Linked DNA regions of Schizosaccharomyces pombe. Changing the gene in region 1 together with any one later gene gives a genetic interaction. Each region holds a gene or a part of one and is shown on either strand. Other genes may lie near its edges.

What was found.
Region 2: mutations in fnp1 (region 1) and SPOM_SPBC17A3.06 together harm fitness more than expected from each alone (negative genetic interaction), as found in Schizosaccharomyces pombe (one large-scale study listed by BioGRID).
Region 3: mutations in fnp1 (region 1) and plb3 together harm fitness less than expected from each alone (positive genetic interaction), as found in Schizosaccharomyces pombe (one large-scale study listed by BioGRID).
Region 4: mutations in fnp1 (region 1) and utp16 together harm fitness more than expected from each alone (negative genetic interaction), as found in Schizosaccharomyces pombe (one large-scale study listed by BioGRID).

The regions. Positions count from the first base shown.
Region 1 is NC_003424.3:4,640,638-4,648,873, reverse strand, and holds fnp1 (folliculin complex subunit fnp1), read right to left. Parts: upstream 6,568-8,236; 5' UTR 6,380-6,567; coding exon 3,851-6,379; 3' UTR 3,697-3,850; downstream 1-3,696. Other genes in the region: SPOM_SPAC30C2.08 (uncharacterized protein), read right to left, coding at 1,703-2,080, 2,132-2,228, 2,285-3,020, 3,152-3,314; GTPase dml1, read left to right, coding at 6,735-8,132.
Region 2 is NC_003423.3:1,410,411-1,417,047, reverse strand, and holds SPOM_SPBC17A3.06 (phosphoprotein phosphatase), read right to left. Parts: upstream 4,184-6,637; 5' UTR 3,994-4,183; coding exon 3,001-3,993; downstream 1-3,000. Other genes in the region: SPOM_SPBC17A3.08 (deoxyribonuclease Tat-D), read right to left, coding at 1-64, 130-328, 504-697, 752-783; mitochondrial glutathione reductase Pgr1, read right to left, coding at 1,103-2,445, 2,501-2,552; SPOM_SPBC17A3.05C (J domain-containing protein), read left to right, coding at 4,357-4,385, 4,440-4,876, 4,941-5,686. UniProt on the Schizosaccharomyces pombe protein: May be directly involved in signal transduction and/or cell cycle regulation. It is necessary for maintaining growth rate or spore germination. Could show both activity toward tyrosine-protein phosphate as well as with serine-protein phosphate.
Region 3 is NC_003424.3:1,067,877-1,075,651, forward strand, and holds plb3 (lysophospholipase Plb3), read right to left. Parts: upstream 4,487-7,775; 5' UTR 4,252-4,486; coding exon 2,263-4,251; 3' UTR 2,047-2,262; downstream 1-2,046. Other genes in the region: transcription coactivator Rqt4, read right to left, coding at 1-576; wdr55 (WD repeat-containing protein), read left to right, coding at 855-1,940; SPOM_SPAC1A6.11 (uncharacterized protein), read left to right, coding at 5,658-5,978; plb1 (lysophospholipase 1), read right to left, coding at 6,901-7,775.
Region 4 is NC_003423.3:3,648,214-3,655,327, reverse strand, and holds utp16 (U3 snoRNP-associated protein Utp16), read left to right. Parts: upstream 1-3,507; coding exon 3,508-3,545; intron 3,546-3,590; exon of another isoform or gene 3,591-3,611; coding exon 3,612-4,154; exon of another isoform or gene 4,155-4,298; coding exon 4,299-4,701; 3' UTR 4,702-4,967; downstream 4,968-7,114. Other genes in the region: CENP-H-like protein Fta3, read left to right, coding at 192-854; ubiquitin protease cofactor Nxt3, read right to left, coding at 1,533-2,648, 2,765-2,839, 2,908-3,021; karyopherin exportin-T Los1, read left to right, coding at 5,247-7,114. UniProt on the Schizosaccharomyces pombe protein: Functions as part of the small subunit (SSU) processome, first precursor of the small eukaryotic ribosomal subunit that coordinates the first two steps of ribosome biogenesis in transcription of the primary transcript pre-RNA and pre-18S processing.

The DNA.
Region 1 (8,236 bases):
CACTCCGACGTATTACCTAGTATGGCGAAGCAACCGAATGAAGTCTTCCTTCAACACCCTTACGCTATTTCACAGTATCTTGAAGTAACGATGTCACCATCTTTTCTATTTTACTCGCATCTACTGGATTTCATCTACGCATTGCGGGACAGGCGACGCTTTAGATGTCCGCTGCTCGTCACTATTTTTTCACAATCGGCAAAGTTGAAGTTGCAAATCCAGTAGCGGAAAGTCTAGTTGGCTTCAATATTCTCAAATTTGTATAACAGGAACTTAACTCATGTGCTTTTGTTAACGTGCATTCTTTTTCTGTAGCGAATGTCTTCACAGACTAATCGAGGAAAACAGACCCGCTACTTACAATAATTGATCCTTATTTCCTTTTAATCATTTACAATGGTGATGCTTTTTAATCGTTTAGGATACCTTGATAAGAATATATAGCGCTGAACCTAATCGTACTGAGAATCTTAAAAATTAGTATAAGCAGTGCGACACTAAGGTTGCATATGTTTGGTGTTTAAGAGAAATGTATGGTTTCAAAACCTCAGTAATCAAAAGAATTTCAATGGTTCGACTAATTAGAATTCTAATCCAGCTTGCTGTTATACATGTCTTATTTGCGGTAGCTCTTTTCAATTTCTCAAACTTGTTGTGATTATGAATTAATTGAGCCTTTACTGAATGTAAAGCCAGTGTATATCCCCCCCCCCCAAAAAAAAAAAAAACACACACACACACACACACACATACATATTAATCACGAATCTTGATAATTAAATAATGAATTTTTATTTGTCTCAATTGCAGAATGATGGTATCCCTTTTTTATAATTCCTAGGCTTCTTAATTGCGTTTGGCTTCGCGCATGGATTAGTTGAATTTATTTTTACATCTGCAAAGTGACTCGTTTTCAATACTCACTTTTGCTTGCTTAAATTACTATGGACCAATTCCTTTGCTTATTTGTTGGTCGAAAAATGTTCAGAGGAAGATTACCTCAAACGTTTTCTGCCTGATGCTAAGGGAATGAAATGCAAAGCAGAATTACTGTAAAACATCTTAATGAGATTTATACAACTTACTAAATGAGAACTTCCATGTCTTCCATGTCTCAATACGGTTTGTCGTATTATGAAAATTACTACTTATTGTCACGTATTGTTCAAGTATACGCAGCGAGTGTTTAAAACAAACCAGTTTTCAAAATGATTCATAATACTTTTATTCTTTATGTCTTCACATAAATTAGTTTGTATCTTAAGCCTTTTATTGTATAATAATGAAAAAAAATAAATATCGCGTATCGCTTCAAAATTCACCGACAATGACAACAGTGCTTGAATTCTCGGACAAATCACAGTTCCAATAGCCTCAACCCTTTTTGAAAAAAATCAAACAGCCATTGCTTGCAATTCAAAGCACCAAACCGGTATTCAAATAAGAGGCTTCGAAAATTCATAAAAAATCGCTGTCATAGTTTTAAGAAGCTGACTAGTATTTAAGGTGTGGTGGTGAAAAAAAAAAGAGATGAAATTTTATAAATGAAATTTTCAAATCTGACTCATTTAAGTTTAACCGAAGGTTATAATGCGCACAGAAACACTCCCAGCACATTTATTAATACTTCATAAAAGTTAACGGAAGGTTATGACTTTTATAGGCATTAACTCAATACAGTTGTGTCTGAAAGAAAAGTCGTTTATAAGTTTCCATCCGTGTTCTCAGATCCTTCTCGTTCCTCTATATCATGTTGATGCTTTTCATCGCGAAGTTCCTCGATTAATTGATGACACTGAGTCAAAAGCGAGTTCACAAGCTCTTGTCCTTCGGGTACGGAATGGTCGGAAGCCAAAAACTTTCCGTTCACCCTAAGATTCTCTAATGAGGCCAACTTCATTTGGTAGGGATACAAATCTCTTTCCGAGCAAATACCTCCGCTTCTCTGAACTTCAAGTAAGCAGCGTTTAACAGTTCGAAGTTGATTATGTACGGCCATAAGCTCTTCTGACACTGGTTCACTGCTAGAAAGTAATTGGTATATGTAAGCATAACAACGGCGTAGTAAATATAAAAGAATCTAACATATCAATTAGCTGAGATTTCATATAACTTCTGCATAACTCCTTACCCTTTGGCCAGCAGGCGCATTGCCTTGTTCGTCCAAAAATTGACCATCAATACGCATTGAGTCAATTTCCGCTAGAGAAGCACGATAAACGTAAAGACTAAAATCCGTTAGCAAAAGGTTTCTTCGATAAAAAAAAACTAAAGAAAAACGTACTCAGTCTCACGTAAAGTCCAGCGATGAGTAAGTGTAAGATGTTTTAGTTTGTTAAGCAACTCGTCGAGACGGTGGTAAATTTGTTGTAACTTAGGACTTGATTTCATTTCATCAGACAAACCTTCCTTAGTTTTGGCATCCTCAAGAAAACTAAAGCATTCTTCAAGTATACCGTTACACAGCTCTTGACCTTGTAAGGGAACATGGTCAGCGTCACAAAACATCCCATTAGAATCCTTCATTTCTTCAATTTCCTTCAATTGTTCCATTGTCCGGTCAATAAATCCAGGGTCAGATGTAGGACGAACGGCAAAACCATCAATTTGACGATGAATAGAAACCAAACGAGTTTGAATACCTATAAGCTCTGGTGAAATCTTTGAAATGTTATGTTGGGCTTCACTATAATTTCTATCACAAACAGCAAGTTTGTTATTCAGGTATTTTACAACAACTGGAGAAGCATCCTCTTTTTTAGATCCCTCAACGATTGCAGCCCTAATTCGTTCCAACCTTTCTTTGAGAGGCTTAAGGTCATTCTGCGTATAGCAGGCACCTTCTAAATTATACTCTAAAAGCCTTCTAACAGTTCCCAATTGTACGAAAAAAGCAGGCAAGTCGTTGTTACGTCCAATCGCTAGATAAAATAAAGATAATAGGTGCAAACAATCTTCTAACTGTGAATCAACAATAGTTCGAGTGCTATTCGTCGATCGTCTAGAGTCCAATAAATTCACTATAATGAAACTTAGTTAGCAAAAATTTGTTTAAATTTCAAAATTTTGAGCCAAATATTTATCCCACAGATGACCATTCATTCATCCATATGCATCCATAATTTGACACAAATATTAGCGAATTACATACTCTGTTCCACTAATTCATCTTTCAGATGAAAAACCTCATTTTTCTCAATGAATCTCGTACGATCTCGTTTCAAAACAGCTAGGCGTTGACGGATGCCTATCAATTTCTCCAAGATTGGCTGTTCTTCCACGGGGACAGGCTCAGCTGGCTCATAAGACATCATTAAGTCTGTATTTCTTTTGAACTAATATTGAAAACACTTAAACGAATGATACAGACAATATTCAAATACAATATTTGTTGGTGGGTGGTTGGAAAAGGATAACTGCACGGTATGATAAACATGGAAATACTTAAATGGTTAACGAGAAACCTCGAAATAGAAAAGCTGGTGTCATTAACGTAGAAAATTTTGAATAATTTCAAAAAACAACCATAAAATTTAGTTTGTTAACGTTCATTTCTTTCTTTTGAATGAAGGATGCATGCCATGTGTTTTAGAGTTTTCTGCCCAACGGTAAATAACTAACAGATAATTTTTCAACCTTTTAGTAAATAAATGCTATATTTAAACATAATTTATAACAATCACTTTTTGATCACATAATTTATTACTGAGCAATGTTCAACCGGAACCACTAAATGCAGGAAAAAAAATGAAATTTGTCAAATCAAAATTTATAAAATTCTAGGATTATTTCATTTCTACTGACAACTTATATATTGAATAGTGTAAAATTCTTGTTTACATATACTAAGTTAGCAATGAGAACACACCCTCAAAACTTCTTTCAAATCGCCTTTCAAAACTTCGCTTACGAAGGAGTCATCAGATTTGTCCCATTTATATGATGATAAACGCCTTTTAATAACATTGAAGCAGCCTTGTTGAATGTCAAAAGATGATACGTAAGTTTCGCCAATGACTTTGTGATGTTCTTTAAGCAAGAAAGGCGCATAATCATTTTCCCACTCGCTAGGAAACTCGTGTATTTCGTAACAATCGAGAGAATACGTATCAAGATTAGCAACCATGAGCTGCGACTTTAAATGCTTTTTCTCAGCAAGCAATTGGGATTTGTTGCGTGAAACGTCTTCTAGCATATATAACAATGTCGCGGAAATAAAATCATCATCAGAAAACGATACATATGAATTCGGGGGGGCAGCTTGCAAGTCAAAAGAAGGATGTAAGGCTTTCAAAAATCCCACCTGCGAAGGAGACGGAGGAACGGTGGAAGTAGTTGCCTCAGATTCCTGTTTAGCATTCGTTTCCAAAAGATCCACATGGAGCATACCTCCTGGTCCTACAGTTGACCTTGGTAAATATTTCATATTCTCAGCGCTTTCCAAATATTCATCGATATTTTCTATATCCAAAAAACTACTCGCTGCACTTTCCGAAACACCCGAGGGTGAACTATACTGCATTGGTTGTCTTAAAAAAGAACCAGAAGTTGGATTAAGCGGATCCGTCTCATTATTTTGGTAACTACTACGCATAAATTTTAATCGCCAGCTGCTACTCAAATAATTTCGTAATGACGTTTTCCTAGGAGAATCAGCAAACGATGGTTTCTCTGAATGAATATCTATAGCTTTGCAAGAATCATTTATCTTCATATCATAGGAAGGTACTCGTAAAGAGCCAGAGACAGAAGGACAACCAAATGAAGTAGAAAGACTAGATGATGAGAGTATTCCAGAGTTGGGATATAATTGAATAGGATTAAGAAGCGTATCGGAACATTGCGCAATTGACGGTCGCATTAATGGAGCTAGTAGATATAAAAAACGTCGAGCTATTGGTGCTTTGCTAGACTGTAATAACACTTTAAAAGTAACATCATCTTTTTGGCGTTCCAAACAGAATTTTCGAGTAGCTGTTAGTAAATTGCTAAACAAGCACTTCTGGGCTGGAGATTTACACAAGTCGGTTAACAATCGCATGTTTTCCACCCATTTGCTGCCACTAAATACTGAAGGCTTAATCAATGGTGCCGAAAACCCAGTTTTCAGTAACAATATGCATTTGTGGAAACTCTTAGCTGTAATCAAATCTTTGCTAAGAGCATATGGTCCGAAACCTACTTTTGAGGATGAAGACTGAATTAATGGAATTCCTGTATCATTTTTGTTATCCCCCCCACTGCTAAGTGAAACAAACAAAAGATTGCGAATTCGTTCATCTATTTCTTTCTGCAAAGAAAGCGTAAAATTTGATAGCATAGTATAATAAGTACTGACAGGATGAACAATTTCGTCATATTCATAAGGTACAGTAATGATAAGAGCTAAAGCATACGAAGCTGGACGAGTGCGAGTATCGCTAAAAAGTGAAGGTGAAGAAAGCAGAAAATTAGAATTCGTGTTTTTGATGGATTGAGGAATAGTAATAAACGGAGGACTATTTAACCTGTTTCCTTTCTTTACGTTTTTTAAATCCTTTATTGATGTTGAGTTTGAAGGAAGAAGAAAACCACAATTATTGGAATCAGGCTTTTCTGAGGTATTGTTTGAAATTGCAGGCAAAATTTGTTGGGAGGAAAGAGGGGAATGCCCCCTGTTACACCGGAGCGAATTTTTAGATCGAAAAGGATCCTTAGCAGCTGTATGTAAGGCACAGCGACTTTCCAGTTGCTCATGCAAAGGTGTTAAAAAGGAAGAACTTGTATTCGAACGAGCTTTTTGACTGCTTAAAGTAGAATCTTTCATGTTTTTAGAAGAAGAAGATAAATTTGCTGCATTCTCAGGGATAGCGCTATCATTAAAAGACTTTAATAATGGACTGTCTTCTTTATTCGATTCAAAGGCATCGCTTGAGTTGGGTTTATTAGGGTCTTCAGAAAAGTTCGAACTACTATTTTCAAATAATGAAGTAGCAGATGCAATCGTTTCGTGACTAGAATTGACTACTGTACCATGTGTGTTGATTTGAAATAATTGAGTAAGCATATAAGACCTTGTGGCAGGATTAGGGGGATGAAGAATATGCAACTTTGTGGTAGTTCCTTTATGGGAGATAGGAATTGCTCCAAACATCAGATCAGTAAGTGGAGCATTTGCCGAGTCCCTAAGCACACTATCTCCTTTCTGACCATCCACATGATTAGAGTCAAACAAAACAGTTTTTTTTCGGTCTCCGATGTCTTGAACGAGGACAAGACGAAACGTTACATCCTTAGTACTTTGATATTGTTTGTCCAAACCATGAAGAAGCTCATAGGATTCTTTCGGCGATGAGTTTCTATTTGATGAAGATCCTGAATGAAATAAAAAATGAAGCATCTAAGAACGCATTACGCGGTAACTAATTTCTACAGGTTCAGTCTTTATGCTATGCTTCTACACAGAAAACAAAGCTTTGAATTGCAAAATTAAAAAAGGATGCTTAGAAATAACAGTAGCATGTACTGAAACTTCACTCTTACGTTAGTTTGACATTCCCCAGCAGCAGTTTCTCACTGGCGTTGGTTAGGTAGACAGAAGCTAGTAACGGTATAACTAACTCACACCAATTTTCTAATAACTAGGGTTATGGTTACGAAATCTATCTCAAGTATTGTTTAGATATTTAGAAAATACATGTATATACATTTTTTACAAAATACATTTAACAATCTATTAGGCATTTGCATATTCGATGCATGAAATATTAACAGTTACATTTGGAAGAAAGAGCAACTTCTGTTGGACGCATTTTTGGAACACTCAAGAGTCTTATTTTGTATACGATCCGAACGATCATGCAAAGGTTAATGTAAACACCAATTTCCGTGTACTGAAAAAGCGTGATCCAGAAGCTATTGTTACGGTTCCTCGTGAGTGCATATATGATACTCCAATTGAGTTTGGAAATACTAGAAAAAACTGGTTAGAGGAGTTAAATGAGTCATCAGGAGGAAAAGGTACAGCATGGGATGGTAAACTCACGCAGATTATGCAGACTCCAGTCGATGTGCATCCGTACCAAGAAGCACTTTGGAGTCGAGATGAGATCCATGAGGGAAACGCAATAGAATCAGAATATGAACTTCCTTCTATTCGTCCAAAAAGCGTTAAATATTGGTCAGATTTCAATCGGTTATTTTTAGATACTGAGTATTTATTTCCAGTAAACTGTTCGGAACTGAATTCATCGGACTTTTCATTTCAACTCGGTGTAGAAAGGTTTCATGATTTTGATAAGCAATTCAATGTATGGGATGAAGGATTGAGGCCGCTTGTTGAAGAATGTGATAGCGTCCAAGGGTTTCAAGCAGCAATAGACATAGACACTCCGTGGGGTGGATTTGCGAGCGAATACATGAAAGTAGTTCAAGATGAGCTAGGAGAATGTCGTGTTCCCACTTGGGTCTATGGGATTCGAGAGCCGATTCAGTCAGATTCATCCGCAACTATTGATAATCATTTCGGAAAACTAAATGAAGCACTTTCGTTATCTCAGCTCAACGGATCTTGTTCTCAGTACTTCCCTTTGTGTACAATATCACAAGGTGATGACCTTTGGGCTTCCTCCGCAAAAATTAATTTGGCTATTGAGTCCTTTACATTGCCCACAAGGGTTTACGGGTCTTCCTGCTACAGAATGAAAGATATCGAATCAAAGCTACAATCAGAAGGAAGAGGTTTTATCCATAATTTGAACTTTAAAGCAAAAAATTACTCGTCTAAAGAATGGGCACTAGTGAGTAGTGCCTCCTTTGTTAATGTTGCTCAAGATTACAGTCAGCAAAACAATTGTTTATTTGGAGTCGTACGCAGCCCCAAAGATAATCAAGGATTACTAGAAGGAAAAAATTATAACGCAAGTAGCATATCGAAAATAGTAAACATACAAAATTTAGGATTGCCGAGCTTAGAGACAGTTCCAGAAGGGTTGCGCACATTGGATACTGTTTTTGTGGAAGCTACGAATGACGGTCAAATTAATTCACACATTCAAGGTCTTACAAAATCTTTGAATCGTCGCTTTGTTTCATTTGTTGATCAAGATGAACTTGAAGAAATAAGAGAAATATTATCTTCATATATTATTTAGAAATCAAGGAATACGTTGGGCGAATAGTTCAAAGTATGAAATTTCCAAATACTTTTACAGTCCAATGATTACTTGAGAAAATTTCTAATAAGCTTGACTAAATG
Region 2 (6,637 bases), on another chromosome or scaffold:
TCTAGAATGCAGAAAAAGTGGTAACTGGACTCGAACAGCAACTTTTAATTGTTCTTCAAAATACCTAATTCAATTTTTTGTTAGTTTTTAAGTATCATATTGGACCGAACCATATAAAATAATACTTACATCTTTTGAACATCAGCAGGCGCATAATGTAATCTATCATAATCAAGACCAAATTCACCAAAAGCAACTACTTTTCCTGAAGCTTTGCCCTTATTAGCCAATGCTTCTAGTTTTACTAGATAATCTTCAGGACCCTCAGAGTGCCTTAGAAAGCATTGTGCCTGACATGGATGCACGCCCACGGTACTAGTGAAACATTCTGTAATTTATTAGTAGGCTGATAAAAAAATTTGGATTAGGCTCATTTCAACACTTTGAGGAAAAGGACAAGAGTTTACAAAAATGCCACAAGCGAATGAGTTGAGTAGTAAACAGTTTAAGCAATTTTTATACTAGTAAAATAAAATAAGAAATGAATTGTGAGATATACTTACCATAGTTTGTAGCTAAATTCAGGGCTTCTTCAGAGTTTTCGACATTGTCGCCGGTAATCATCATTTTTTCTACTCCCACAGCTTTCGCTCGAGAAATTATGGAATCAAAATCATCAGGATGTTTTAGTTTTTCATGATAAATACCTCGAAAAACAGGATCTGTTGCGTTGTATCCAATGTCATAAAATCGCAAACTGCAGCTCATATCGTAAGTCTACATTATCTTTCTTTATACCGAAACTACTTACCTTTTTACAAATGCTTGCCTAATTGATGCCATAGGTAGAGATCTTTTTTTTTTGTTTTTTTCCTCTAGAGGTTTAAAATGTGAGAGTTGAGCTTAAACTGCATTCATATATACTGCTGGGTTAGACATGTAGGAAATCAAAAAAATATTTAGTTTCTTATCAGTTTTATTGCAGAAGCAAATATAGGTATTTTAGCAATAGAAATAGCTTTATTACAATTACATATAAGTTTTGAACAATTAATTTGCAAATAAATCTGATGTTAAATAAAAGTACTCATAATTTTAATTCTATTTAAGAAACCAGAAGTGAGAAAACCTGTCAAAACAAAGGATAAATAAAAGACAAAATTTAAACTAAAGTAACTAGTTCTTCAGCAGAAGTAGGATGAATGGCAACACAACTATCAAAATCTGATTTTGTTGCACCCATCTTTATGGCTACACCAAAGCCCTGCAAAATTTCAGCAGAAAAATCTCCAACTAAATGTAGGCCAACCACTTTTTGAAGAGGACCGGCACAAACTAACTTGTAAGTAGTGGGGACCTTGTCTTCTTGCTCAACCATTGAGTAATTAAGACCGTTGAATTTAGTGTTGTATACCTTAATTTGACTTTCACCGTACTTGTCGATGGCTTCCTGTTCTGTAAGACCTATAGTTCCAGCTTCAGGATGAGCGAAAACAACAGAGGGAACTTCCTCGTAATCCAAATGAGCATCCTTAATGCCTCCAAAAAGCCTATCAGACAAACGACGACCAGCAGCAATAGCAACGGGGGTCAATTCTAATTTACCACAAACGTCACCTAAGGAAAGGACAGTGGGAACGTTAGTGCGTTGATATGTATCAGCAATAATGATACCATTAGGGAGTGTCTTAACACCTGCCTTTTCTAAACGCAAACCTTGGATTTTAGGGGCACGACCAATTGCCCAAAGTAGGGTATCAACATTAAAGGTAGATCCATCTTGTTGATGAATACACAATTCGCCAGAAGGAAGCTTCTCAACCTTTTTGAATTCTAAAGAGTTCGTATGGACATTGATGCCAATATGTTGGAAATGATCCATAATTCCATCACTGATAATAGGATCGAATTTACGTAAAAATTTGCTTTGGCGAATAAACATATGAGTCTCTGTTCCTAGAGCAGCAAATACACCAGCAAGTTCAACGGCAATATAACCAGCACCAACGATAGCAACGCGCTTAGGTTGGCTTTCAAGCTCAAAGAACCCGTCACTATCTATACCATATTCCGCTCCTGGAATATGCGAAGGCCAAATAGGATGACCACCAACAGCTATAAGGATATATTTTGCGCTGAAAACCTGAGTTCCCGAACCATCATTCATATCGACAGCAACCTCAGTAGGTGATACAAAGCTAGCGTGACCAGAAATATAAGCCACACCATCCTTATTAACATTTCTTTCATAAATTCCATTGAGACGTCCAATGTATGCATCACGTTTACGTTTAATCATTCCCCAGTCAAAACTACCTAACTGACTGTTAGGGAATCCATTTTGCTTTGCTGTTTTCATCTTTGCGACGAGATCAGCAATATTCCACATAATCTTTTTGGGTACACATCCATAATTTACACATGTGCCTCCAAGGCGCCCAGATGCCTCAATTAAAGCAACCTTGGCTCCATGTTTGGCAGCACGACGAGCCGAAGCCAAACCGCCTAATATTCATAAATGTTAACCCATCAAATCCCGAAAGTATCGAATTGTACTTACCACTTCCACCACCAATTACCAGGTAATCAAAGACCTTTGAAATAGGTGCCATTCTAGTTTTAATACTTCGTGTATATAGGTAATGAAGAAGTTGAATACTGTTATAAACCAACGGAAGGTAAGGGTAAGACGTCTTTACCATGAATTCGTTATGATAATATTAGGAAATTTTATGGCAATATTAGTCATCTTCAAAAGTAAGCAATACCTCCATAAAGTGATAATTAGATTAGAAGAATTCCTTAGACTTTGCCATTGAACAGATGGAAATACTTTTCTCAGGCCAATGATAGTATAGAGTTTTTATTAAAAAATAAGTATTCAGAACTGGTTAGTACTTTAATTACAAGATCTCATCGACAACTCTGGAAAAGCAACCAATGTTTTAAGATAAACCATTTTTTTGTAATAAACATAGATGATTTGAAAACCTAGAGCGATCTTCCTAATATACATTAACTTTGAAGCAAGTGGATGATTCACACACGCAGAAAAAAAAATCAACCGAGTTTCCTAACAGCGTCTACACGCGACTGTAAAATACTTAAAGCTGGACAAACCCATTGAAGACAACTGCATTGTAAACCTTGCCATTTATAAGAACCAATTTTAGAATTGCATTTTGGACAATCAAATCGACCTTCCAAATTTCCCAACTCCAATTCTGGCTGCATCCAGCGAATAGGTTCCAAAAAGTAATGAGTACATCTTGTATGAGAATAATTATTTTCATCTTTCGGTTCATGCGATACCAGATAATCAGAGCTGGCAAGGACAAACCGACATTTTTTACAGCGAAGCTCTAATTGTCCTGCACGGGCACGGACAGTCTCAGCGTAAGCGACTTCAGATGGTACCCTAGTATTCAACACCGCGAAATCACCATATCTTCTGAACAGCCATTGGCGGTATGGGCGCAAACTTCGATCAAGTTGGTAATTACACTCAAAGTATACGCGAAGTTGACGAAGAAAATTAGCATTAGGAGATATTCCAGAGCGCCTTTCATTAATATGGGAGAGTGCTTCCTCAGTATTCCAATTGTTTTCCTTCATCAAGTATGCAGCCACTAAGGTTACGGACCTTGATATGCCCGCAAAGCAGTGAACCAAAACTTTGGCATTTTTAGATAGTGCAAAAGCGATGAATTTATTTGACTTTTCGAAGTATTGCAGAATATTTTGAGAACTAGAGTCTTCAATTTGCAACCAAAGGTGTTGTTGTTCAGGAACCGACAAATTGGGATTAATACTCATAGCGCTTAATGTATAATCGATCCCTTTGTCTGAAGTAGACACTAGCTCTGACGCCGTTTTCCAACTACTAATATACAAATTTTTTGATATTTCCGACAAGTCATTGAGGCTGTCAGGATAATGCACCTCGTCTATAGCTTTCTGTACATCGTTGCTAGACTGTAAAAACCCTTCTGCTTCTTGAACGGATGAGTGAATTTCATCAAACTGAGGTTGCCATGCACTTTTGTTGCTCATTCTATTATTAAGTTTCTGATTTACCACTTTGAAACCGAAAGAAACATAAAAACATGAAAAACACTTAACTTTTCCAATTACTCTAATTATTTCGCTTGGCAAACAACCAAAACCAAAAAATGCTCTTTTTGAATTATTTTAAATATATCAATTAGTTTTCCCTTTTATTCCTGTTTTTGGTGTTTGGATTGATTCAAAAGTGCATGTTACTTAAGCCACTTGACCTTCGATATGTTACTTGGTTTAAAGGGTTTCTGGTAGCATCGATCCATCCAAGTACAAAGTTGGCAGAGATTGAAGGCACTTGAAACTTTGGTTCTCTCATCAAACTTGGACTTAATTTCCTTCTTTCATATCACCAAAATGGAATCTAGTAGAGAAGAAGCCCTTAGGTACGAATAATGAGGATTGCGTGAGATTTTATTACTAACACATGTTACGTGTAGATGCATTGGACTTGCAAGAAAGTATTTAAATGCCGGAGAATATGATAAGGCTTTAAAATTTGCTAATAAATCTTTGCGAATTCATGCTACCACTGAGGGCGAAGATTTTGTGAAACAAATAGAAAAGCAAAAGCTTACAGGTTCTCCAAATCCTCAGGCAACTCCTAAGCAAGAAAACAAGAGTAACTTTTTTTCTGAAAAACAGTCGGTGCGGGAAAATGGGAATAGCTCTGCTGGTGAAAAGAAACAGAAGTGGACAAGCGAACAACATTTGTTGGTCCAGAAAATCATAAAGTACAAAAATCACCAGTACTATGAAATATTGGATTTAAAGAAAACCTGCACTGATACAGAAATCAAAAAGTCTTATAAAAAATTAGCATTACAGCTCCATCCAGACAAAAATCACGCACCTAGTGCTGACGAAGCATTTAAAAGTACGTCTTCATTTTTTAGCTAATAATTTTTAAGGTTTTTTTTTGTATCCTAACTTTTTTATAGTGGTTTCAAAAGCCTTTCAGGTTTTATCAGACCCTAATCTACGAGCACACTACGACCGTACAGGAATGGATCCTGAATCTCGCGCCTCTGCTGCGAGCAGCTCTTTTAGTAGTAACGCAGGAGGCCATCCTGGATTTTCTGCTTATCCTCAAGCGAATATGTCTCCCGAAGATTTGTTCAATTCTTTCTTTGGTGACCAGTTCTTTTCAGGTCCAGGAACATTTTTCTTCGGTGGTGGACCTGGCATTCGAGTTCATCAGTTTGGCGGCCGTCCAAGGAATTTTGCACGTCGTCAGCAGGCCCAGGACATGCCCCCAAAGAGCATATTTTATCAGTTGCTACCTTTGATAGTGGTAATCCTTTTTGCCTTTTTGTCCAACTTTAGTTGGTCAGATAGTACGTCGGTTAATACGCGCTATTCATTTCAACAAAACTATAAATACACTGTTCCTCGTACTACTGCCAAGCATAACATTCCATACTATATGAGCCAAAAGGATTTGGATAAGCTAAGTTCAAGAGATATAAGAAGACTCAACGAAAAAGTCGAGCATACGTATACTCAAAACGTCCATAATGCTTGTTTGCGCGAGCAACAAATTAAAGAAGACGAAATTCGAAGAGCTCAAGGATGGTTCTTTCCTGATAAAGAGGCACTGAAGAAGGCTAAAGAATTGCGTTTACCTAATTGCGAAGAATTAAACCGCCTTGGCTATCGAACTTATTCAAACAGTTATTATTTTTAAGCAATAGTCTTTGAGACATACTTCCTTGTCCTTTGTTTTGTTTCATTTTCTTTAATTCACATCTATACCTATTCTCGTGTTGTTTACTTTCATAAAAATTTTAATTGGGTTTTTGGAACAAAACTAATATTCTTTACGCGTATCTTAAAGCCTGCCTCTTCGGTTTTTAGGTAACTTTAGGCTGTTTATCTTTAATGAAATCGGCATGCGTTATTCCTAAAAGTTGCCTTTAAAACATGAACAAATTAGAACTTGTGTTTATGTTGTGGTTTTTTTATTGTTATTGAACATTCAGTGCTGCGTCAGTTTATAACTTTATCTGTTGTGTAGGCGTTGTTTAATCAGTCGTGAGTCTAGTGAAATCTTGCAACAGCATTATTTCCTTAAGAGGTGAGGCTTTTTTGAATCAAATCCAAATTTTGTTCCCGAAGATTGAGTTAATTAAATCAACTTTTTGCATTTAATAACTGCTTTCTGTATCGCTATATTAAGAAGCTTTGCGTCCTTTGTATCATATTAATATAATTCGTGAATTTACTTGCATTTCCTCCAAACAACAAATCCTTTAAAATAGAAGGAATATTAAACTGCTAGAGACATTGGCAAACCAAATTTTATATAGCTGCAAAGACGCGAGTAATTTAACCAGAGTTCTGAAGCGTGATTTCGTATCTCAAAAAAGAGGGTAAGCTGGTAATCATCACACATTCTATATACAAACATTTTAAACTCGTTTTCGCTTTCCTGAAAAGACAGGTTCCTGCTGAATGTTTAAATATGCTTGCGTCTACTAGCAGTTTATGAAGTACGAGTAATTGCTTGGTTGTAAAGAAGCAAGGCGCATGTTTGAGTGTATATCCTATAATATTTAAAAACGACATGTAGAGGTAGATACCCACAAGTGACACTCGTTGTCAATAATAATTACTTTCCTGCTTTCTTCTTCCTTCT
Region 3 (7,775 bases), 3.6 Mb from region 1:
TCTTTCTGCTTTATTTATATTTTGAGATATCTCTATTTGACGTATAGCTTTTTCGATGTCGGCGAGACCTTCAATTCTGTTAGAAGAAGAGTTATTATGTTTTACACTTTTCTTTTCCGGAATAAGGTCAGAAGTCATTACGCCTGGAGAGACATTTTTCGTAGTTTTGCTAGATTTTTCATGTGATGAAATATTGTTTGATTGTGATTTATTCCTCGAAGCAGGATTGACTTTATACATTTCTTCATCATATCCTTTTTGCTTATTGTTAGCGATATAGAAACTTGGATGAGAAGATGTGGCAGTATTTTTTTGCCGAATATTATTATTTGGTGTCACATTCTTCTTGTTTTTCATGATCGATGGAGAATTACCAGAATGCGTAGAGTGAAATCTTTTTTGATTGAAGTCACTAATGAATTCTATAGTCTCAGCAGAATCCCCCAGTAAAGAAATCCAATAATCTTTTGCGGCTTCGGAAGAATCGACTGCTAAAGCAGTGCTTGTTATCATTGCGGCACTCTCATCGTCGACTGGCAAAATTTTCAGTACGTTCTCCTTCGTCCATTTTTCCATGTCTAACTTTCTAAAAGAATTCGTAGTTTAACGATTTCGAATAAAGTCTTTGAATAAAGAATCCCCAAGTAAAAAATACTATTGAATTATTTAAATGAGTTCAAGAAGTTCGTACAAATAAAATTTTATATGCTTTATGTAAATTTTCCAAAACAATATCAAGTTGGTAGTGTAATAGTATTCGCGATTCTAGGGTATGCAAATTTGCTACAGGGCAATGGGTGCTGAGAGGTGGATTGCCCAGCTCTAATCACAGCCTACTTGTCCTAAACAACCTAATGGGTGGAACAATAAATGCTGCTATAAAACAAAAATTTGAAAATGAAATATTCGACTTAGCTTGTTTCGGTGAAAATCAAGTGTTACTGGGTTTTTCAAACGGCAGAGTTAGTAGCTATCAATATGATGTCGCACAAATAAGTTTGGTCGAGCAATGGAGTACCAAAAGACATAAAAAAAGCTGCAGAAATATTTCAGTAAATGAATCAGGTACCGAATTCATTTCTGTAGGTTCAGATGGTGTTTTAAAAATCGCCGATACCTCAACGGGGAGAGTGAGTTCAAAATGGATAGTGGATAAGAATAAGGAGATTTCTCCTTATAGTGTGGTTCAATGGATTGAGAATGATATGGTCTTTGCTACAGGTGATGATAATGGTTGTGTTTCTGTTTGGGATAAGCGCACCGAGGGAGGCATTATCCATACCCATAATGATCATATTGACTATATATCTTCTATTAGCCCATTTGAAGAACGATACTTCGTTGCTACTAGTGGTGATGGAGTTTTGTCAGTAATCGATGCTCGTAATTTCAAAAAACCAATATTGAGTGAAGAACAAGACGAAGAAATGACCTGTGGAGCTTTTACACGGGATCAGCATTCAAAAAAGAAATTTGCTGTTGGTACTGCCAGTGGAGTTATAACTTTATTTACAAAGGGTGATTGGGGGGATCATACCGATCGCATTTTATCGCCAATTCGGTCCCATGATTTTTCAATAGAAACAATAACTCGTGCTGATTCTGACAGTCTGTATGTTGGCGGAAGCGACGGATGTATACGTTTGTTACACATTCTTCCAAACAAATACGAAAGAATTATAGGGCAACACTCTTCGCGATCAACCGTAGACGCTGTGGATGTTACTACCGAAGGCAATTTTTTAGTTTCCTGTAGTGGAACCGAACTAGCTTTCTGGCCGGTTGATCAGAAGGAAGGAGATGAGTCATCCTCCTCTGATAATTTAGATAGTGATGAAGATTCCAGCAGCGACTCTGAATTCTCGAGTCCTAAGAAAAAGAAAAAGGTGGGAAATCAAGGGAAAAAGCCTTTAGGAACTGACTTTTTTGACGGTTTATAATTCAAAACAGCTTTGATATCTATAAAATTGCACAATCATTATTAAAATTAATTGTCTGTATATTTAAAAATAAAAGCGATCTTCCTAAATTAACTAAACTAAACATCTTCATTAGAGAAAAGAAACATTGTGCTTCGAAAACTTAAAATGAATTCACTAACACTAACACTAAAACTACAAAACCTTTGAACCCCACAAGTTTGGTAGTGATTAATACCTTACAATTAATAAATAAAAGCCTGACTCAGTCTATGCTTTTTAATTCTTTCAAGTCGAAAAGTGACTCATACCAAGGTGTGTGAGTGGGGGAGGCTTTCGTCGTCTATAATAGTAACGAAACTGTTAGAAGCGAAGCAAATAAATAAAATACTATAGGTTTGGCTCGTACAGAAGAGGTACCAGAAGTGGTTGATGCAGATAACACAGTAGGAGCATAGTTTGAAACGGCACTAGGGTTGTTCACGGTTGTTCCATTCCAGCAGTATTGTTCAAAACAAGAAGAGCATTGACTAGGAGTAGACATATTTTTGCGCTCCAAGGAACGTTGTATCATGGCGCATGCCAAACAGACTGCAAATGAATCGCTGTTGTTTTGAGTAGCCGATAGAGCAGCATTTTCAAGAATGCCACTGGACAAAGTGTCATTCATAGACATGGTAAACGTGGAAATATTGGAATAGTAAACCCAAGGATAATTGGGGAAATAAACAAGAAGAGGAGGTGTATTGTTATCTACGGTATGATTACCTGCAGTAGTGTTTCTGCCGTCACATCCAAAGAATGTTGGATGAGTGTTCAGTCCCAAGGAAATGATTGTGTCCTCATCAGGGATATACGGGAAACCTCGAACATCAACACTTTTATTGGCGTTATAAGTTATAATCCTTTCATATGTAGTAACAATAGAAGAGCCATCAGGCCAACCATTAGAATCATCATAAGTTGCGTCAACAGCAAATATAACGTCAACAAATCTTTGAGGATGTAACAAAGGCCAAATAGGAATGTTCTCATCGTCTTCACCACCATCTACTAAATCAATAGTATCGAATCGCTCAAAAGGGTTTTTGACGGTGGTGTTTGTAGTCGTGAAATTCTGATAAGGATTGGGGTAAGGAGCGATGTCATTTTGATCCTCAGAAAGTTTTTCAAATACTTTATGAATAATATCATAGAGAGTACTATTTGACGTTACTTCCTGACTCCATTCTAACAGAAACGTGTTGAACAATGTAGCTGAAGTACCCATAACAAAACCGGCATTATCATAGTTACGAATGCACTTATGGTCTGGTGGAACACCATTCTTTAAATGGGTACCGACGTATTCCATAGGGAGAAAAGCTTTAATACCATTGTCCCAAGTACCAAACTCGTATGGAGTAAATTCGAATATACTGGTGTTGGCAGGGATAGCTTTTTCCTCTTCCAAACGACTGTCAGATATAATGATGGGATAAGGATAGTCGGCATTTTGGAACCAAGTTTGGTTTCTAATGCTAGAAAATGTGATATTTGGACCACCTTGGGTAGCATCGACAAGCTTACGAGATAAAGCGCGTCCCCAAAGATCGGTCAAAGAAGTATCGAATCCTGCATCTTTCTTTTGATCAATCTCATCATCCAGGTCGTCATAATAAGCAAGATTTTCGACAACATTGTCACCATGAGGAGCAAAGACACTATGTTCCAAATTCCAAACGTTGTCACGTAGATAAGTAATATTGGCAAAGTTATTAACAGCTACGGAACCGACCAGCCATGAACCACCAGAAAGACCAGCGATATACATGGCGGATTGAAGAATTCCAGCAAGTGAAGAACCATTGCCATTTCGAGAATCGAAAGCATTTAAAACACCTCCTCCGTGGACCATAGCGCGGAGTCCACCGCCAGAAAATGCAAGTCCTAAACGAGGGCCATCTGAATCATTAATCACAGAGTTTACATCTACGTCCAAACCAGTGTTGGAAATAAAGGACCTCATTTGTGTATTGATTTTGGGGATACGTTTATCAATGAAACTTTGCTCGCCTGAACTTATTCCGTCAGAAGCAGGTCGTAGCATATAGTCACTAGGACAAGTTACATTATAAGGCGCGTATGATCCAACACTGTCGCGCTTGGAAAGCGAAATCGCCAAAGCCTCTCGTTTTTGCATTAATGAAAGAGGCGTGTCATGCATGCCCGGTCTCATTAAGTCAGATTCCCCAAACTCATACGGATCCGACATTTGCTCGCGACAAGGCGGGTACGCCAAGGCCGGCAGGATCTGGAGCAGAGCGAGTATTCCAAAACAATTAAATAACATTGTCTTTTTTTTTTATAGTTAAACCGTCTTTAGGTCAATAAATTTGGGAAATTATGCCAAAATCTACACACCGCTTTGCTTGAACTCAGAGATTAGAAGGCCGTTACAAAAACGCGCTCAAAACAAACGATGGAATCAACGACTGTCTCTCTAGACCCACAAAAGTTTAGAAAATTGACTATACCCTCAAACAATTTTCTTGTGAACGAAAACAACACAACAACGGAATATTTGTAAACGGATGGTGAAACAAATTAAACCAAAAGCGCCCTACTACGTAAAAATTTTAAAACTCCTTATAGCTGAAATTCACCCGTATTCCAACGCAGCTCTTACTGTATCACTGTATCTGCTTACCGTGCTGTTATTTCTGCTCCGGTATATGAGGATCTGATTATTGTAATTTGTGTCTAAATAAATGACAAGTTAGTATCCAAAGTTATTGATTTTTATTAAAAAGCATAGCGTCTCAATGTTAAGATAAACACTGGATTTTGCTCTTGAATTTGGCGAAACGCTTGACAATTCCATGGTTTATAAAATTTTCTGTTTGCGGTATTGCGGAATCAAATGCGAAACCATTTACCATTTCTGTTCATCGGCAAACGTCGCATCGTAACCGAAAACCTGGGATTCATCTGCTTTATGTTTCATACAAATGACTTGCAGTTTTGCAATTTCATTCAACAAATTCATGAATTCCTATTCTTTTTCTTTTATTCCAATTAAATACAAGCTCATGCCTAGTCTCCAAGCAAATCCCCCCTTACACTTTCTTACCCTAAAAGTTAGTAGTAGCTAAAGTAGCGACTTGTGCGATAATTTTAATATTGGGAAAAGGCAAGTTGAAAGTGATTCAGCCTATATATATATGTATATATATGTAAGCAGAGACACATATGTCTATCTTTGACAGATTTTTTAGATTCCCATTTTGTAGATCAAAAAAGGTCCATTTACATCCCCATGATGTAAATGCCCTTCCGTTCTATGCGAAAAGAGACCGAGACTGTCGGTCCTTTAAATATCGCTTAATATGTAAAGTTGTTGTGTAAATCTATATTTTGAGCAGTCGCTGAGACGCAAGCCTTTACGTTGAATTTGTTGCTCATCTTCTGGTCAACTATGACTGCTTTAAAGTTCACATTGGGATGAATGTTGCTAAGCTATATATCTAAAATCCTTAACGACGGAAACATTTGCAGGTTAAGTATAGGAGAATGTAGCGTTCAACCGGGCTGGTTATTTCAACTGCGCCGCCCTCGGATATTAAGTGTGCCTCTTCGAAACCGGACCTTTCTAAGGAACTTGCAGATTGTCCTTGACTATTATTTAACACACATTACTGGCATCAAATTAGTCGCATTACATTACAACTGGCCGCATTTTACATAATTGATTAAAATATGAATCACAATGTTTATTTATTAACTTCCTTCAATCTTTGGAGTCATGGTGTATATAAAATATCATCAATCTCTCTCAGTAACTCTTTTTTTCCTCATAGTTTCATGTTTGTAAAGTCGCTACATCTAATGACATCACAACATATCTTCAAGTGTCTTTCTTCTTGTAATTATGCTCTTTCAATTCTACATAATATATGTTTAGCCAGTTTTCTTTATTTATCAAAATGTTATTATCATACACACATACTTACTTCTGTTCGATTAGATTTTTGTAAATCGCATGCGCATACCTATATCAAAAGCAAAGCCTCAACTTAAAGTTAACTCGGATCCCATTTCGTTTAGACTTAAAGCATAAAATGCACACTTGCTAAATAATTTTGCAAAACACGTAACTCACAGTCATCGGATTAGAAAGTAAAGCCCGAGGCCGAGCAAAACCCGCGCAACTACTACAATTTTTTTCTCCCATTACTCGTTGTGATGTATTCTATACTGTCTCATCTACATCCCCACTACTTCATTGATTAAATTGCGTACAGTTGATATAATTTGTAAATGATCGTATAATCTGTTTTACGTTAACTAAATTTTTTCATTTCTACATCTCCTTCCTCATCCTAATTAATGAATTATAGGCTGTATGTTAAAGTTCACTATTCCTTGTTCAAGTATAGCAAACCTTTAAAAATCAAATTTTATCATACAAAATATATACATATAAATAATAATTTTTTGAATCAAACAAAACAAAAAAATTACAGTCAACTTATTTATATAGACAAACAACATTCTTATTACAACCAAGAATTAAAAAAATGACTTATTTTCGCAACTATATATAACAGCAACTCTCATAAACAACTAGAACACGTCCAATTTGGAGCCGTCAACAAAACTGAATTACAGCAAACGAAAGCTCACAATAGAAAATGAACAAAAAACATTCCGAAGAGAGGGTAAATTAGAATAAAATACTTTCGGAAGATAACAAAATAGTCTCCCTAATTAGAGCGGAGTGAACGTTCAGTTTAATAATCCGTTAACAAAAACCCATATCGCGTAATTGGATTGATTCACATATATGGCTAGGTTTGATTTATGCTAAGACAGCAGACATTGTATAGATTTTTTTTAAAAACTTTTTTCCAGGCATAAGCATTGCCCTCTATCTTTTGCTTGTGAGCAACAGATATGTCGTATAAATACTGAAGAGAGAAAAGTTTGCATGCGCCTTTCCTTAAATGCCTTCACCAAGACGGCAAGTAGGATTGTAGACAATATCATCATTAGCAGCGCTGTCATCATAAAGACCGCTCCAGCAGTAGTTATAGTAGCATTGTTGGCACTCGGGGCTAGCAGTGATGTTGTTACGCTCCAAAGTACGCTTAACAACGGCACAGGCAAAACATTGACCAAAGTAGGTGTCATTGTCAACGGTAGAGGAAATAAGGCCGTTGGTAAGAAGTTGTTGAATCATGTCTTCAGTGTAGTAGGTGCGATCAGTGGAAATGTTAGTGAAGTAGTTGTAAGGAACGTTGGGAAGATAGATAACCAAAGGAGGAGTGTCACGGGTAACAGTGTGGTTACCAGCAGTGGTGTTACGACCATCACAACCAAAGAAGACAGGGCGATCGTTGAAGTGAAGACTGACAAAGGATTGTTGGCTAGGAACGTAGGGGAAACCCTTAACATTGGTGTTTCCGGCAGCTTGGGCAGCAACGACACGCTCATAAGTTTGGACAAGAGAGTTACCGTTGGGCCAGAGCCATTCACTGTCATCACCATTGTCAACGGCAACGATAACATCGACATCACGACCCTTTTGCAACAAAGGCCACAAAGGAATCTTCTCACCAGTAAGGAAGGTATCAACTAAGTTAAGGGAAGAGCTGGAACCCAAGTTGTTGGCAGCATCAGAATTAGCACTCTCAACACCTTGGAAGGGGTTGGGAATGGAGATGATTTGTTGACCGTTTTCAGAAAAGTTACCTTTCAAGTATTGTTGGATGATACGACCGTTCTTGGTAGAAGAGTCATTGAAGTTACGCATTATCTTGTTGAAGTAAGTAGAAGAAGCACCCATCATGAAACCAAAGTTGTCATAGTTGATAA
Region 4 (7,114 bases), on another chromosome or scaffold:
CAAACTACTACGTGAAAACCAGGAGAACTTGTAGAACTCCCGGTTTCCTTTAAATAATCTCTGATTTTGGTTTCTTCATGTAATAGTCTTTTATTAGTACTAAAGCTTTTTATCTCCGTATTCCTCGATTTTTAGGAAAATACTGATTAGTTCAATATTTGAAAATGCTTGTTACTTAACGAACTGACCGTATGGATAATAACGACCAAATATCAAACCTTTGTCTAGGGGCTTTACAACTGCTTGCCGATCAACCTATTTCGGTTATCTCGAATGAACCATCTGAAGAACAGCGGAATGAGCACGTCCTGAAAAAATGGGAAAATAACGTTTTAAGACATTGGAAAATTCTTTTTTCTCTTTTTATGCAAACTTGTGGTGATAGTGTACAAGGAAATGCTGCCTTCTCAATCCTCAATTTCATGACTACTAATAGTTTAGTGGGACAACTATATCAGCGACTATATGATGAGTCTAATTCATTGGGCTTTATAAGTAGCCCTTTGAACGAGACAGAACATTTGTCGGAAGAAAATTTAAAAATCGAAAGCAGTATTACCTTCACTAGTGAAGAAATTGAGAAGGAAAAAGAAAATATTAAATCTGTATTACTTCCTTCAGTGCAATCTATTTCTTCTTCTTTAGAATTGTATGCGTCTAAAGAATCTGATTATAGAAGCTCAATTGAAGGTGTATTAGCTGACTTGAAGTTAGCGCGTGCCCGTTGGGAAATCGTTAGAAACGTGACACAAATACTTTTGCTCGAATCCGGCATTAGTTTCCTAGAGAACAAAAAACTTGCATATATCATGGATCTATGTGGTGATCGTGAAGACAATTATAGTTCCTATTAAAAGTCTTTATTTTGTTTGTGAACGAAAAATTTGGTATGTTTTTATGAATGTTATAAGCCCAGTGATGCTTTTTTGAATTTCTTCAACGGAGCCGTTTGTCTTATTGACATGCGATGTGGGACGATATTTGACATACTGAGGGCCAATCATTCATTTTTCTGACTTCATAATTTTTCTTACTAACCTTTAGAGTAAATGAATTCTTTATTATGAATATTTTTAATAAAAGCTCCTTTTTTACTCTTTGTAAAAATTTTAGAAACTAGAATACATAAAATTTTATTTAAAGGTACTCTAACAACAATAACGGATGTAAAGGAGAAAATTGGCGAAACCGTAAAAATAATAGATTTCTCTACAAAATGAAGTAGGGTTGGGCGTTATCGGTAAACTGAATCAAGCGGACAAACCACCGTTGTTTTTTTAAAAAAGGAAGGCTTATAATAGTCGGAGGTTTTTGGAATGAGACAATATAGAGGCGCTGATGTCAATTGTGAACATCATCAAAGGTATACTAATATATAGTAAATAGATTGTGAACAATCAAAAATTTTGCGAGCTCAGTAATTCTTTCTCCACAGTCGCAAGAAAACTGGCATCTGCTAATGTATAAAAAGTCAAGAGTCAATAGTATATACAAATCAGTTATAATTTAAAAACCGTATGGACAACAGACACTTAATTATTTTGCTTTTTAGAAGTAGTCACTTCTTTTGAACGACCGTCAAAAGCACCACGGTTACCTTTGCGAAAATTCCTTTTCATTCCATTATAATTATCGTTGGACTTCTTATCTCCCGATTTGTTGAATTTACCGGAAAAAAGACGGCGTCGTTCTTCTATGTTCAGCGTGGCATTGTTAATTTGCAAAGTTTTTTTGTTCAAAGCCAATTGCACGCATTCATGGTTGACAAAATCAACATATGCGGTGCCTTTGCGACGAGCAAACTCAATAGCCTTGACTGGTCCAAAAATGCTCATAGCAGATTTCAATGACACATCAGATGTTTCGGGAGGAATGTTCTTGACGAATACAGATGTCTCCAACAGTTCATTACTCTGAGTGTACGGCGCTGTTGGCTGCTGAGTTTGGTCAGCATTAACACCTTTAACTGTTTGACCAGTTGTAGACGCAGTAGAACTAACTGATGCTTGGGATTTCACATCAGGATGATTACGAGCTATGAGATCAGCCCAAGATTTAGGTGCTGTAGCAACATTTGCATCGCTAGCCCCTATAGCATCAGCATTCTTCGAGTTTGAAGTCAGAGCTTCATCTTGAAGCTGATTTTCCTGCTGAGAAACAAAACTTGGGACTGAGGCTTCCGTAACTTGGATAACGGGTTCTTCAGGAACAGCCAAAGTAGCTTGATTTAGACTGTCGGTCTCATTTGATATAAGAGCGGCTGTGGCAAAATTATTTTCTGTAGCAGCTGGATCCTGGTAATGGCCTTCTTCTTTTGCAGAAGGTAAATGTTCTTGAGATTGCACGCCATTTACGTAAGGTTCAGAAGCAACATCTTTTTTCTCTTTTTCAACAGCATCAGGTGACTCCTCTTCTTCCTCAACATCTTCACGCAAAAAACGGAAAATATCGTTTAAAACAAAATAACCATTTGGTTGTTCTGCAAGGAAAAATGTTTGAGCAAATTTTCTGGATAATTTCCCCTTATTAGACATTTCACCCAGGACCTGGATGACAATGCCACCATTCGAAGAAGCCAAACTGTCAACGTTTGAAATAAGTACTTTGCAATTTTGAAAGTCCAAGTCCAATATCTTGTTATGAATTTCCTAACACGTTAATAAAATGACTATTGGGCAAGACAACGATCATAGAGTTTCGAAAATCGCAAGCAGAATATCACAACCTCAAAAACTTTACATATAAGAATTGTGTTAAAGCATACCTGTTGTCCATGACAAAGACTAATACTCTCGCCTTCGTCTCCGTGAATTAAAGTTGACTTTTTAGTATAGAAACACTGTATTACAGTTAGTACGGTTCACAAGTTGAAGAAAAAAAAACTTTTGGTAAATTATGACGACCTACATGAAGACGATTGGGTTCTTTATTTAAATATGTATAATATTCTTGAACGAACATCCATCCTATCTCATCCTTTCCCAAAACTGGTTCTAATAATGTGGCATTTTCCGCAGTCATGTTTTATTTAACTGTGACAATAGCTATACAAAGAACAGAAAATCTGGCTCTAAAAGACCCAAAACAAAATTCGGTCGTGTCTTATGTTTTCCGTGCGTTGGTCTTTTTAATGTCCCATCTCCTTGCTTTCAATGTCCGTGATTACAGCATTTCGTAATTGGATTTAACGAGACTAAACGATATTTCTGTTGATCTTTTACATTCAACTTGTTCGCATAAGTAAGTTAGTTGATGGAAAGAGAGACCTTTTGGTCAGAAAATTGTTTGGTTTTTCATTTCAACAAATAACATAAACATCATATGATTTACCATAGATCAAAGTTGCATATATTTCTTTCTATTATTGTTTTGCAAATTGATTATATTAGAAACGTTAATTCATTGGAAACCACTAAACATTTTGAATAGTAATACGACTATATACTGTGCTAGAGAGATTAACCTGCTAATGATTTTGCCAAAAGTCAATTAGTTTAACAGCTTTAAATGCAATCGTCTAGAAAAATTATGATACTAAAAAGAAAGTATGCGAGCCTTTAAATCATTTAATTAACGAAAATTGAAATTACTTTCTTCTTCTTATTTACCAGCATTAAAGGGTTAAAATCTAGTGCTATAATTGCAACGTATCTTACTTTAAATAAATTATTTATTGATAAATTTTGTAAGACTCAGGAAAGTACCTATCCTATCCATTTTGTTCACTGCCATTTTGGTGGCATTAAGAAGTTTCACTCGCATTGCCAGTTATCCTCCTCCTACACCAATTCAGGTCAAAAAAGTTTCAAATCCTTTAATAGTCTTCGTTTTATAGTATTAAAATCCAAAACTTGTCTGTTAAGGTATAAACTTCTGATAAAGACATTTTGTTGCATTACTTATTCGAAAATTGAAAATTTGTCAAATACTAGAATGGCAAGATTGACTGCCCCAAGCAAAGGTCCTTCATTTTCAAATTTAAACAAACCAAATGATTTGTTGAAAGCGGAAATTGAAGATAATGAAGCCTCACACTACTCTCAAAATCAATCATCTGACAGTGATTCTGATGAAGCACCTGAAGAAGTTTCGCTGAAGAGCAGCAGCGATGAGGTAAAAAAGAGACTTCAACGTCTGAAAGGGAATGAATTACAGTAAGTTTTAATAAACGGAATGAGGGAAACACTTAAAAATACTATTTGTTTTGGTTTGAGACAGAATAATAATTTGTTTGATAAAAGTTCGACTGCTCATTTCGTTTCCTTGCTTTTGATAGTATTATTTTTAACACATTTTAGGCTTCGAAAAGCTGAAAGAGAAAAACGTAGACTGCAAAATGAAAGAAATCGTGAAAGAAATGCCCAACGGGTAAGCGCATCAAAGTTGGATTTGGCTATTCTTGAGGCAGCTGAAGTTGAAGAAATTAATAGTACCACGGAAATCGAAGAAAAGGTTGACGAAGCAAGCCTTGACCTATATACTCCAAAAGGACATAAAATTGTTTTTCCTAATAACGAAATTCCTAAAAAACGTACTCGTTCATTTCGTAAAGGTGATTTTAAAGTGAGCGTTCTTAAAGAAACAAATGACCCTTTACTAGCGCCGAACTATGAAAAGAAACTGTCACAGCGTAAACGGGATTGGATAAATCGACAATCAGTTCCCCGGGCGTCTAAAAGACGACGTCCCTTGACTTATTAATTTTCCTTTCTCTATTTGGCAACACATTCGCTGTAAATTGAAAGTCAGGCACAAGCATTGCATTTTCTGTTAATATAAGGGTTTACTTTTTTGTTTATTAATAATATTGGTTGGGAAAAGGTTGTCTGGGTTCTAAAACATTCATTATTTGAAGCTTTGGACATGCTAAGTGCAGTTTACGGCTGTTTTTTTGGTAAATGTTTAACATAGTATTTTTAAAAATAAACACTTTAGACAAACATGAGTTAATTAAAGTTGTATCAAGGATTTATTGCCATGCACTAGAGGAAATTCGCTCATGTAACGTTTCGTACATCATAGATATTATAGATATCAGTAGCTATAGCTCATAAGGCCAAAATTTGCATAAATATATTATTAATTGTCTAGTGTATGAACATTTACTACTTATAATTATAAAATATTTGCATATAAATTTCTGAGATGGTTTGTACTTTCGACTACTTGCACTAGGCAAACTTCGCTTTTTAGCACCACAAAAATTTTGTCACTTCAAAGCATTGTTGACCTTCACCTCTGCAGCCATGTCGGCCCAGGATGTCGAAAACGCAGTAGAAGCAGCATTAGATCCTTCTGTAGGACCAATAATAAAGCAACAAGCTACAGATTTTATTGGTAGCCTTAGAAGCTCATCTACAGGTTGGAAAATATGCCATGAAATTTTTAGTGAAAAAACGAAATATAAACCATCAACAAGACTGATTTGCCTTCAAACTCTTAGTGAGAAAGTTAGAGAATGGAACAATGAAAGCAATTTGTTAGAGTTACAGATGATAAGAGACAGTGTTTGGTCTTATATTAAGGAATTAAGCTTTTTGGATGAACCAGCTTATATTAGTAATGCTGTACAACATTTATTGACATTATTGTTTCTTCAACTATATCCAAGCAACTGGAATGATTTTTTTGCTTCACTCCAAGGCGTTATTGCGGCGTCGTCTCAATCTGAGTTTTCAAATTTTTATTTGAAGGTTTTACTTTCCATCGGCGATGAGATTGCTGATTCATTGGTTTTAAAGACAGATGTTCAAATTCAAAAAGATAATTTAGTAAAAGATGCAATTAGGGCAAATGATATGTCTGATATCGTTTCATTCGTCTATGAAATGATGTTGGCCTATAGTAATGCTAAAAACTATGGCACGGTTGGATTGTGCCTTCAAGTATATGCACAGTGGGTATCTTGGATCAATATAAATTTGATAGTTAATGAACCGTGTATGAACTTGTTATACTCTTTCCTTCAAATTGAAGAATTACGTTGCGCTGCATGCGAGACAATGACCGAAATTGTGAATAAGAAAATGAAGCCACTTGAGAAACTTAATCTGCTCAATATTCTTAACCTGAATTTGTTCTTTTCAAAGTCGCAGGAACAATCCACTGATCCTAACTTCGACGAACATGTCGCCAAGTTAATAAATGCACAGGGTGTTGAACTTGTCGCTATAAAATCCGATCCTTCAGAACTTAGTCCAGAGTTGAAAGAAAATTGCTCATTTCAGCTCTACAATCTTTTTCCATACCTTATCAGATATCTTTCTGATGATTATGATGAAACCTCGACAGCAGTTTTCCCCTTTTTGTCCGACTTACTTGTCTCACTTAGGAAAGAATCTTCTTCCAAAGAACTTAGTGCTTCTTTAAAAGAATTTCTTAAATCTCTGCTAGAAGCTATTATAAAGAAAATGAAATATGATGAATCACAGGAGTGGGATGACGATCCTGATAGCGAGGAAGAGGCCGAATTCCAAGAAATGCGTAAAAAATTAAAGATTTTTCAAGATACCATTAACTCTATTGATTCTAGTCTATTTTCTTCGTACATGTATTCTGCTATAACTTCTAGTTTATCTACTGCTGCTACATTATCTCCTGAAAATTCATGGCAGCTTATTGAGTTTGCGCTATATGAAACCTATATTTTTGGTGAAGGATTGCGGGGTCCCGATGCATTTTTTAATGAAGTTGATAAATCTCCGACTGTTCTTTCTCAAATACTAGCATTAGTTACCACTTCACAAGTTTGCCGACATCCTCATCCGTTAGTTCAGCTTCTGTACATGGAAATATTAGTACGATACGCTAGTTTCTTCGATTACGAATCTGCGGCTATTCCCGCTTTAATAGAATACTTTGTTGGGCCCAGAGGAATACATAACACAAATGAACGTGTTCGTCCAAGAGCATGGTATCTGTTTTATCGATTTGTTAAAAGCATTAAGAAACAAGTTGTAAATTATACTGAATCATCTCTCGCCATGCTTGGTGATCTATTAAATATAAGTGTTTCTCCCGTTACTGATATGGATGCGCCAGTACCGACATTAAATTCCTCCATAAGAAATAGTGATTTTAACTCTCAGCTCTATTTATTTGAGACTGTTGGTGT